2 linked regions of the Xenopus tropicalis genome follow. The protein of the gene in region 1 purifies or fractionates together with the protein of each later gene. This does not show direct contact. Links are inferred from orthologs where the notes say so. Each region holds a gene or a part of one and is shown on either strand. Other genes may lie near its edges.

The links.
Region 2: the proteins of ptpn18 (region 1) and pstpip2 purify together in Homo sapiens (affinity purification with mass spectrometry; 4 studies listed by BioGRID and IntAct, with this or other methods). This does not show direct contact. The link is inferred for Xenopus tropicalis from reciprocal best matches to the Homo sapiens genes PTPN18 and PSTPIP2.

The regions. Positions count from the first base shown.
Region 1 is NC_030684.2:707,003-710,680, forward strand, and holds part of ptpn18 (tyrosine-protein phosphatase non-receptor type 18), read left to right. Parts: intron 1-126; coding exon 127-201; intron 202-269; coding exon 270-332; intron 333-1,161; coding exon 1,162-1,304; intron 1,305-1,978; coding exon 1,979-2,045; intron 2,046-2,130; coding exon 2,131-2,208; intron 2,209-2,353; coding exon 2,354-2,440; intron 2,441-2,746; coding exon 2,747-2,832; intron 2,833-3,678. UniProt on the Homo sapiens protein: Differentially dephosphorylate autophosphorylated tyrosine kinases which are known to be overexpressed in tumor tissues.
Region 2 is NC_030677.2:206,691,076-206,694,891, reverse strand, and holds part of pstpip2 (proline-serine-threonine phosphatase-interacting protein 2), read left to right. Parts: intron 1-1,308; coding exon 1,309-1,386; intron 1,387-2,233; coding exon 2,234-2,268; intron 2,269-3,457; coding exon 3,458-3,564; intron 3,565-3,816. UniProt on the Homo sapiens protein: Binds to F-actin. May be involved in regulation of the actin cytoskeleton.

The sequences.
Region 1 (3,678 bases):
CACAAAAGCATCAGCTCCTATGCCAGATGTGACCTCACTTCCTGTTTGAGGATTGGCCACGCCCCTGGGCCGGTACTGTAGGGCCCCACCTTCTCCTGTATTTATATATCCCCATTCCTCCCCTAGAGAAAGTGTGAGCGATACTGGCCCCTGGATGATGCCACCACGCCGGCCCAGTTTGGCCCATTCACCATCAGCAAGGTAAGTCCCATTAACTCCTTATCAGCCGGGACCCACAATCCTCTGCTGACCCCATTCCTTCCTTTCAGCTGGAGAAGAACAGAGTCAATGCCGAGGTCATCTACCGAAAACTCAGGGTCACCTTCAGGGAGGTAAGTGGGGCTACAGCGCTTAGTTGGCCACTAGAGGGGGCTACAGCGCTTAGTTGGCCACTAGAGGGGGCTACAGCGCTTAGTTGGCCACTAGAGGGGGCTACAGCGCTTAGTTGGCCACTAGAGGGGGCTACAGCGCTTAGTTGGCCACTAGAGGGGGCTACAGCGCTTAGTTGGCCACTAGAGGGGGCTACAGCGCTTAGTTGGCCACTAGAGGGGGCTACAGCGCTTCGTTGGCCACTAGAACGGGCTACAGCGCTTAGTTGGCCACTAGAGGGGGCTACAGCGGTTAGTTGGCCACTAGAGGGGGCTACAGCGGTTAGTTGGCCACTAGAGGGGGCTACAGCGCTTAGTTGGCCACTAGAGGGGGCTACAGCGGTTAGTTGGCCACTAGAGGGGGCTACAGCGGTTAGTTGGCCACTAGGGGGGGCTATAGCGGTTAGTTGGTCACTAGAGGGGGCTACAGCGGTTAGTTGGCCACTAGAGGGGGCTACAGCGGTTAGTTGGCCACTAGAGGGGGCTACAGCGGTTAGTTGGCCACTAGAGGGGGCTACGGCGGTTAGTTGGCCACTAGAGGGGGCTACGGCGGTTAGTTGGCCACTAGAGGGGGCTACAGCGGTTAGTTGGCCACTAGAGGGGGCTACGGCAGTTAGTTGGCCACTAGAGGGGGCTACAGCGGTTAGTTGGCCACTAGAGGGGGCTACAGCGCTTAGTTGGCCACTAGAGGGGGCTACAGCGGTTAGTTGGCCACTAGAGGGGGCTACAGCGGTTAGTTGGCCACTAGAGGGGGCTACGGCAGTTAGTTGGACACTTTGGTTCTTTGGTGCAGGAGTCGCGGGACATCAGCCACTTTCAGTACGTGGCGTGGCCGGACCGTGGGATCCCCGACTCCTACTCCTGTTTCCTGGAGATGATCCAGCTTGTGCCCCAGTACCAGCGAGAGAGCCGCGTGCCCCTGTGTGTGCATTGCAGGTGCGGCTCAACAGCTTGCAATCTATTCCTGTATCCTGTACTGTACTCATTGCTCTTTCCTTCATCCTCTTACCCCGACACCCCCTAATGCCCCCCCATTGCCCATACAGCTTGCAATCTATTCCTGTATCCTGTACTGTACTCATTGCTCTTTCCAACATCCTCTTACCCTGCCCCCCCTAATGCCCCCCCATTGCCCATACAGCTTGCAATCTATTCCTGTATCCTGTACTGTACTCATTGCTCTTTCCTTCATCCTCTTACCCCGACACCCCCTAATGCCCCCCCATTGCCCATACAGCTTGCAATCTATTCCTGTATCCTGTACTGTACTCATTGCTCTTTCCTTCATCCTCTTACCCCGACACCCCCTAATGCCCCCCCATTGCCCATACAGCTTGCAATCTATTCCTGTATCCTGTACTGTACTCATTGCTCCCCCCATTGCCCATACAGCTTGCAATCTATTCCTGTATCCTGTACTGTACTCATTGCTCTTTCCTTCATCCTCTTACCCCGACACCCCCTAATGCCCCCCCATTGCCCATACAGCTTGCAATCTATTCCTGTATCCTGTACTGTACTCATTGCTCTTTCCTTCATCCTCTTACCCCGACACCCCCTAATGCCCCCCCATTACCCCAGAGTCACACTGGGTTCTGCTCTTTGTGCAGTGCGGGCTGCGGCAGAACTGGGGTAATCTGTATGGTGGAGTATATCCAGAGCCTCCTGCAGCGGCAGGTAAGTGCCCCCCCCTGCGGGGCTAATATGCACCCCCCCAGCTTTGCCCCCCACCTCTCTGCATCTCCCCGCTCTTATGTTGCAGAGGGTCCCGGCTGATTTCAGTATATTCAATGCCGTGCTGCAAATGAGGCGCCAGAGACCCTCTGCGGTCCAGACCCAGGTAGGTACTTGGTACCGATACACCCACCTCATACGTGGCTCCGCCCCCTTCCCTACCTGCCATGGAGGTACCTCCTCTACCTTCACTCTGCCCTGCCCCCCCTGCTATCCATATCACCATGGTGACTGTGCCCCCCGCCCCACAGGAGCAGTATGAGTTTCTGTACCACGCAGTCACAGAGATGTTCGACAAGGAGCTGCAGACCAGCCGTTGCTATGAGAATCTGAAGGAGGTGAGTGCAGGGAATAGGACAGCTGGGCGCCTATGGCCTCGTACACACTGCTGCACAAAATCACATGACTCCCAAGTTGCAGCTACAGGAGCAGTCTGTGCCAATGGGGGAGATATTTAAAGACACGGCAGTCTCCATAGTAACGTGGGGGATGTGCCTCAGTGAGTAGCTGTGGGCACAGAGGGTTAAAGACACATTGGTTTCATCTCCTAAAAACAGGAAGGGGTGGAGACTTCCTGATTGGCTGAAATTAGTGCAGTGATCAGCAGTCTGTGATCTACTCTGAGCCACTGTCTGTCCCTACAGGATAAATCTCCTCTGTACGACGATGCCACATCAGTACTGAGCGCCCTCCGGCAACTGCCCCCCCAGAGGAAGAAGCCCCCGGCACGGTGAGTGCGAGAAAGCTATCTGCTAGAGTGGAGAGAGCGCTCTCAGGAAGGAGTCAGTGCAGAGAGAGCGCTCTCAGGAAGGTGTCAGTGCAGAGAGAGCGCTCTCAGGAAGGTGTCAGTGCAGAGAGAGAGCTCTCAGGAAGGAGTCAGTGCAGAGAGAGCGCTCTCAGGAAGGAGTCAGTGCAGAGAGAGCGCTCTCAGGAAGGAGTCAGTGCAGAGAGAGAGCTCTCAGGAAGGTGTCAGTGCAGAGAGAGCGCTCTCAGGAAGGAGTCAGTGCAGAGAGAGCGCTCTCAGGAAGGTGTCAGTGCAGAGAGAGAGCTCTCAGGAAGGTGTCAGTGCAGAGAGAGCGCTCTCAGGAAGGTGTCAGTGCAGAGAGAGCGCTCTCAGGAAGGAGTCAGTGCAGAGAGAGCGCTCTCAGGAAGGTGTCAGTGCAGAGAGAGAGCTCTCAGGAAGGTGTCAGTGCAGAGAGAGCGCTCTCAGGAAGGTGTCAGTGCAGAGAGAGCGCTCTCAGGAAGGAGTCAGTGCAGAGAGAGAGCTCTCAGGAAGGTGTCAGTGCAGAGAGAGCGCTCTCAGGAAGGAGTCAGTGCAGAGAGAGCGCTCTCAGGAAGTAGTCAGTGCAGAGAGAGCGCTCTCAGGAAGGTGTCAGTGCAGAGAGAGCGCTCTCAGGAAGGAGTCAGTGCAGAGAGAGCGCTCTCAGGAAGGTGTCAGTGCAGAGAGAGCGCTCTCAGGAAGGTGTCAGTGCAGAGAGAGCGCTCTCAGGAAGGAGTCAGTGCAGAGAGAGAGCTCTCAGGAAGGTGTCAGTGCAGAGAGAGCGCTCTCAGGAAGGTGTCAGTGCAGAGAGAGCAC
Region 2 (3,816 bases), on another chromosome or scaffold:
GAAGGATGGAGCCCCCATTTAATATTAGATATTAATTATTAGGGGTGTCCAATTTCAGACCCTCCAGCTACAACTCTTAGAGCAGCCCCCCTGCATTTTCCAGAATTAGGGTTGAGGGGTGACCCAAAGCGTTTAGCCAATCCCTGTGTCAATCAAGGGGAGGCCTGTGTGGATTTGCTTATCTGAAAAACCAGGCAGGCAGTTTTGACCTAGACAGCCCTTTTGAAAACCAGGCTGTCTGGGCCAAAACAAGAATCTACAGATTGCCAGTCTGGCCTGTCTATGTTAAAATTATTTCTCCATCCGGAGACATGCAGCTGTTAGTTCCCCTTTATAAATGAAACACAAGAGCCCGCGGAGGAACCCAGGCATCTCTGGTCTGGCCGGGCAAGAATAGAACCCATGTATACTCCAATAGCCCCTGTTATTATATTGCTTGCCTCTTATCTGCTGATTATTTACCTTCCGCTTATTGATTTGGGTGCTTTTGTTGCTTTAATATCTCTTAATGATATCATTTTTATTCATATATCATTCATTAATGAATTATTTTAGAATAAAGGAGAAATGGCAGATAAAATGAACATTTGCTTTGTGGCTGTAGTGCCCTGTGACATTTGCATTTACACCTCCAGTAAAGGGGAAGCAAACAGGGATGGATTTGAATGAGAGGCTGATACAGTATATGCATAGGAAAGGGACTGAATAGAAAGATAAGGAATAAAAAGTAATAATAACAATAAACTGGTAACCTTGCAAAACAGTCGTTTTTTGGCTGCCGGGGTCAGTGACCCCCATTTGAAAGCTGCAAAGAGTTAGTAGAAGACATAGTTGAAAATCGATAACAAATAAATAACGAAGACCAATTGAAAAGTTGCTTAGAATTGGCCATTCTATAACATACTTAATGTTTACATAAAGGTGAACAACCTGTCGTGCAGCATGAATGGCAGAATTGACGTTTTATCTCAAGTAGAGGCAGGAGTCAGAACCAGCAGTGCAGAAAGGGACAGATACTGTTTTCAATTGAAGTTGCATTGACAAATAACATTAAAAACATTTTTATTAAATGTTTAATTGAAAGGTGCCACTAGCACTGTGGGGCTGGGGGTGCAAATACATCGGGGGCCCCTGGGAGAAATGCAGGGATGCTGGTTTGCACTGTTGCACTAATGGCTTTGGTGTGGTGGGAGGGGGCCCAATCAACCCGGGGAGGCCCTGATTGGCTAAGCTTTTGCAATTTCCTCTTTATCTGAATTAATATTTCCCCATCTTGTAAAAATTTTCAAGTGTTTCATATATTTCTAGGGCCAGCATAGAGGAGAAGTATGGGAAGGAACTGGTTAACCTGACCAAGAAGAAGCCATGTGGACAGACGGAAATAAAGTAAGTGCCCCGTTGCCCTTGCATCTGTCTGTGTCTGACTCTGCGCTGTCCATTCTCGTGGTGAGATCACAATCAGGCCAGGGCCGGAAGCAGGAAACATTGCTACTCACACTGCTGGAACCCTGTAAATATCGAAATATGTTTTTTTTTTAAAGAGGAACTCCAGACAAACACTGCTTTTTGCACAATAAAAATGCCTCTTTCCCATATACATTAATATAACAATTCTATGGTTTTGAATGTGAACAGCGTCTGTCTGGCTGTTTGTATTCTCTGCACTGCTGGTTCTGACTCCTGAAACAATGTGACAGAGATGTGACGGTGATGAACAGACCTGTAGGAGAACTAACTCCTGCTATATTGTTTCAAGAGTCGGACCCAGAGAATACAACAGTGACAGACAGATATGCCTTCCCATAGCAATTACATTGAACTCGGTGAGAATGTGCAATAAATGCTTAGAATTACAATTTTCTGCCCTTGCACATATTTTAATGCACAATAAAATGCCCATCATGGGAGAGGGCGGTCTTGAGTTTTCAAGTCCATCGTGGGTTGCGACTGATCCAAATGCAGTACTGTTGCTCAATCCTGTCTGACCTACTCGCTGGCTGGGGGTTAACTAAGGAATGTTGCGACATCCCTCTAGTTCAGCTCAACGCAGACATTACTATGTCAAGATATTATTCAGTGACATCATAAGCGCTGTGTATTTAAGCTCCTCCCCTTTAAAGGGGACTTTGACACTGGACATCAAGAGAAAAAGTAGCAATAATATATTTATAGTGACTTTGGTTGTAATTTATTAATGCAAGTCTAATGGTCTCTTCTGTGTCTTCCCCCCCAGCACCCTCAAGCGATCCCTTGATGTCTTTAAACAACGTAAGTACCCCATTAGCAAGCTTCATGCCTACGGGGAGATATGGAATTACGCTCATATATTGGCTTCCTGGGAATTAATTCCCCTTTGCCTCATATCAAATATGTCTGGATATTACTCATTGGTCAGAACTAAACATTGAAAAATGTGGGTTGTTTGAAGCCCCCACATGGGCAATTGTTGGCCTTATAAGCCCCCAGGTTAATAGATCTGTGCTTATCTGCAAGTCGCCAGTCACAGCGAGAGGGAGGGGTTTAATTGCAAATGCTCCCGGCTGGCAGAAAGGCGGCAAATGGTAGTCAAGCGAGTGTACATGGCAGTCATAAATCCCCTGAATCTTTATTTCGTCATCGGCCTCTGTCCCTTGCTCCTCGCCACAAGCAGAAGGAAGAGCGCAGGAAGCTGAAGCAGCAAAAGCTGAAAATAAAGTGAAAATAGGGGAACTTATAGGCCCAGACACTTCTAACTGGACAGGAAAGAACCCTACTGGCTGTCACGCTTACTACGAGAGGGGACGGTCTCATTAAAGGAAAACTATACCTCCAAATAACCTACTAAAGAATCTCCCCAAACTGGAATATATATATCAGTAAATATTGCCCTTTTACATCCTTTCCCTTGAGCCGCCATTTAGTGACGAGCCTTATACCCCGGGGTATAAGGTAAGCGATTACAATCACTGTGGGTGCATAACATTTTCCCCACCTCAGTGACTGTACCTTTCCTTCTCCTTTAACTATAACTTATTGGGGTAGGAATGTGCATTTTTGTTATTTTTTGTTATTATTTATATAACTTTTCATCTGCGTTGACCCTGTTTTATCTCATTTAAACCCCTGGCTGGTTGCTAGGGTGCATGACCTGTAGGAATCCGATACTGTAGCTGGAGAGGAGGAGATAAATAAAAGCCAATCAGTATGTGTCAATGGGCCAACCAGTGCCAGCCTGTGGGAGCCAATACTAGGTGATGGTGTAATAAAGGGTAGAGTGTTTTCACCTAGTAACCTACAGTAACCAATCAGATGCTTGCTTTCAAACTGAAAGAGATCTGAAGAGTTCTACTGTATATACCATCTACAATATCCTCTTTACAGGGTCTTTCTTTACTCAAATATTTTTTTGTACAATTACCTTCGGTCAGCTAATGTTACTGGGAAATACCTGATCATTTCATGTCATTTGTTTCTGTAGAAATTGATAATATAGGTCAGTGTCACATTCAGCTGGCACAAACGCTACGGGACGAGGCGAGAAAGATGGAGGAATTCAGGGAACGGCAAAAGCAGGAGAGAAAGAAGGTAGAGTGAGAGCAAGCAGCTTTAATGTTTAGGAATGGATAGAATGTTATTTTTCATAGGAAAAACATCAGTGTAATTGCCCATCTTGCTAGCAGTTACCCCAGCCCCCACAATACCTGCTACGCCACAGCCACAGTCCCTTCCCAGAGGCTATTATCCCCCCACTGCTACTATAGGCACCATCTCTCCCTACTATACCTGCTATCCCACAGCCCCAGTCCCTTCCCAGAGGCTATTATCCCACTGCTACTA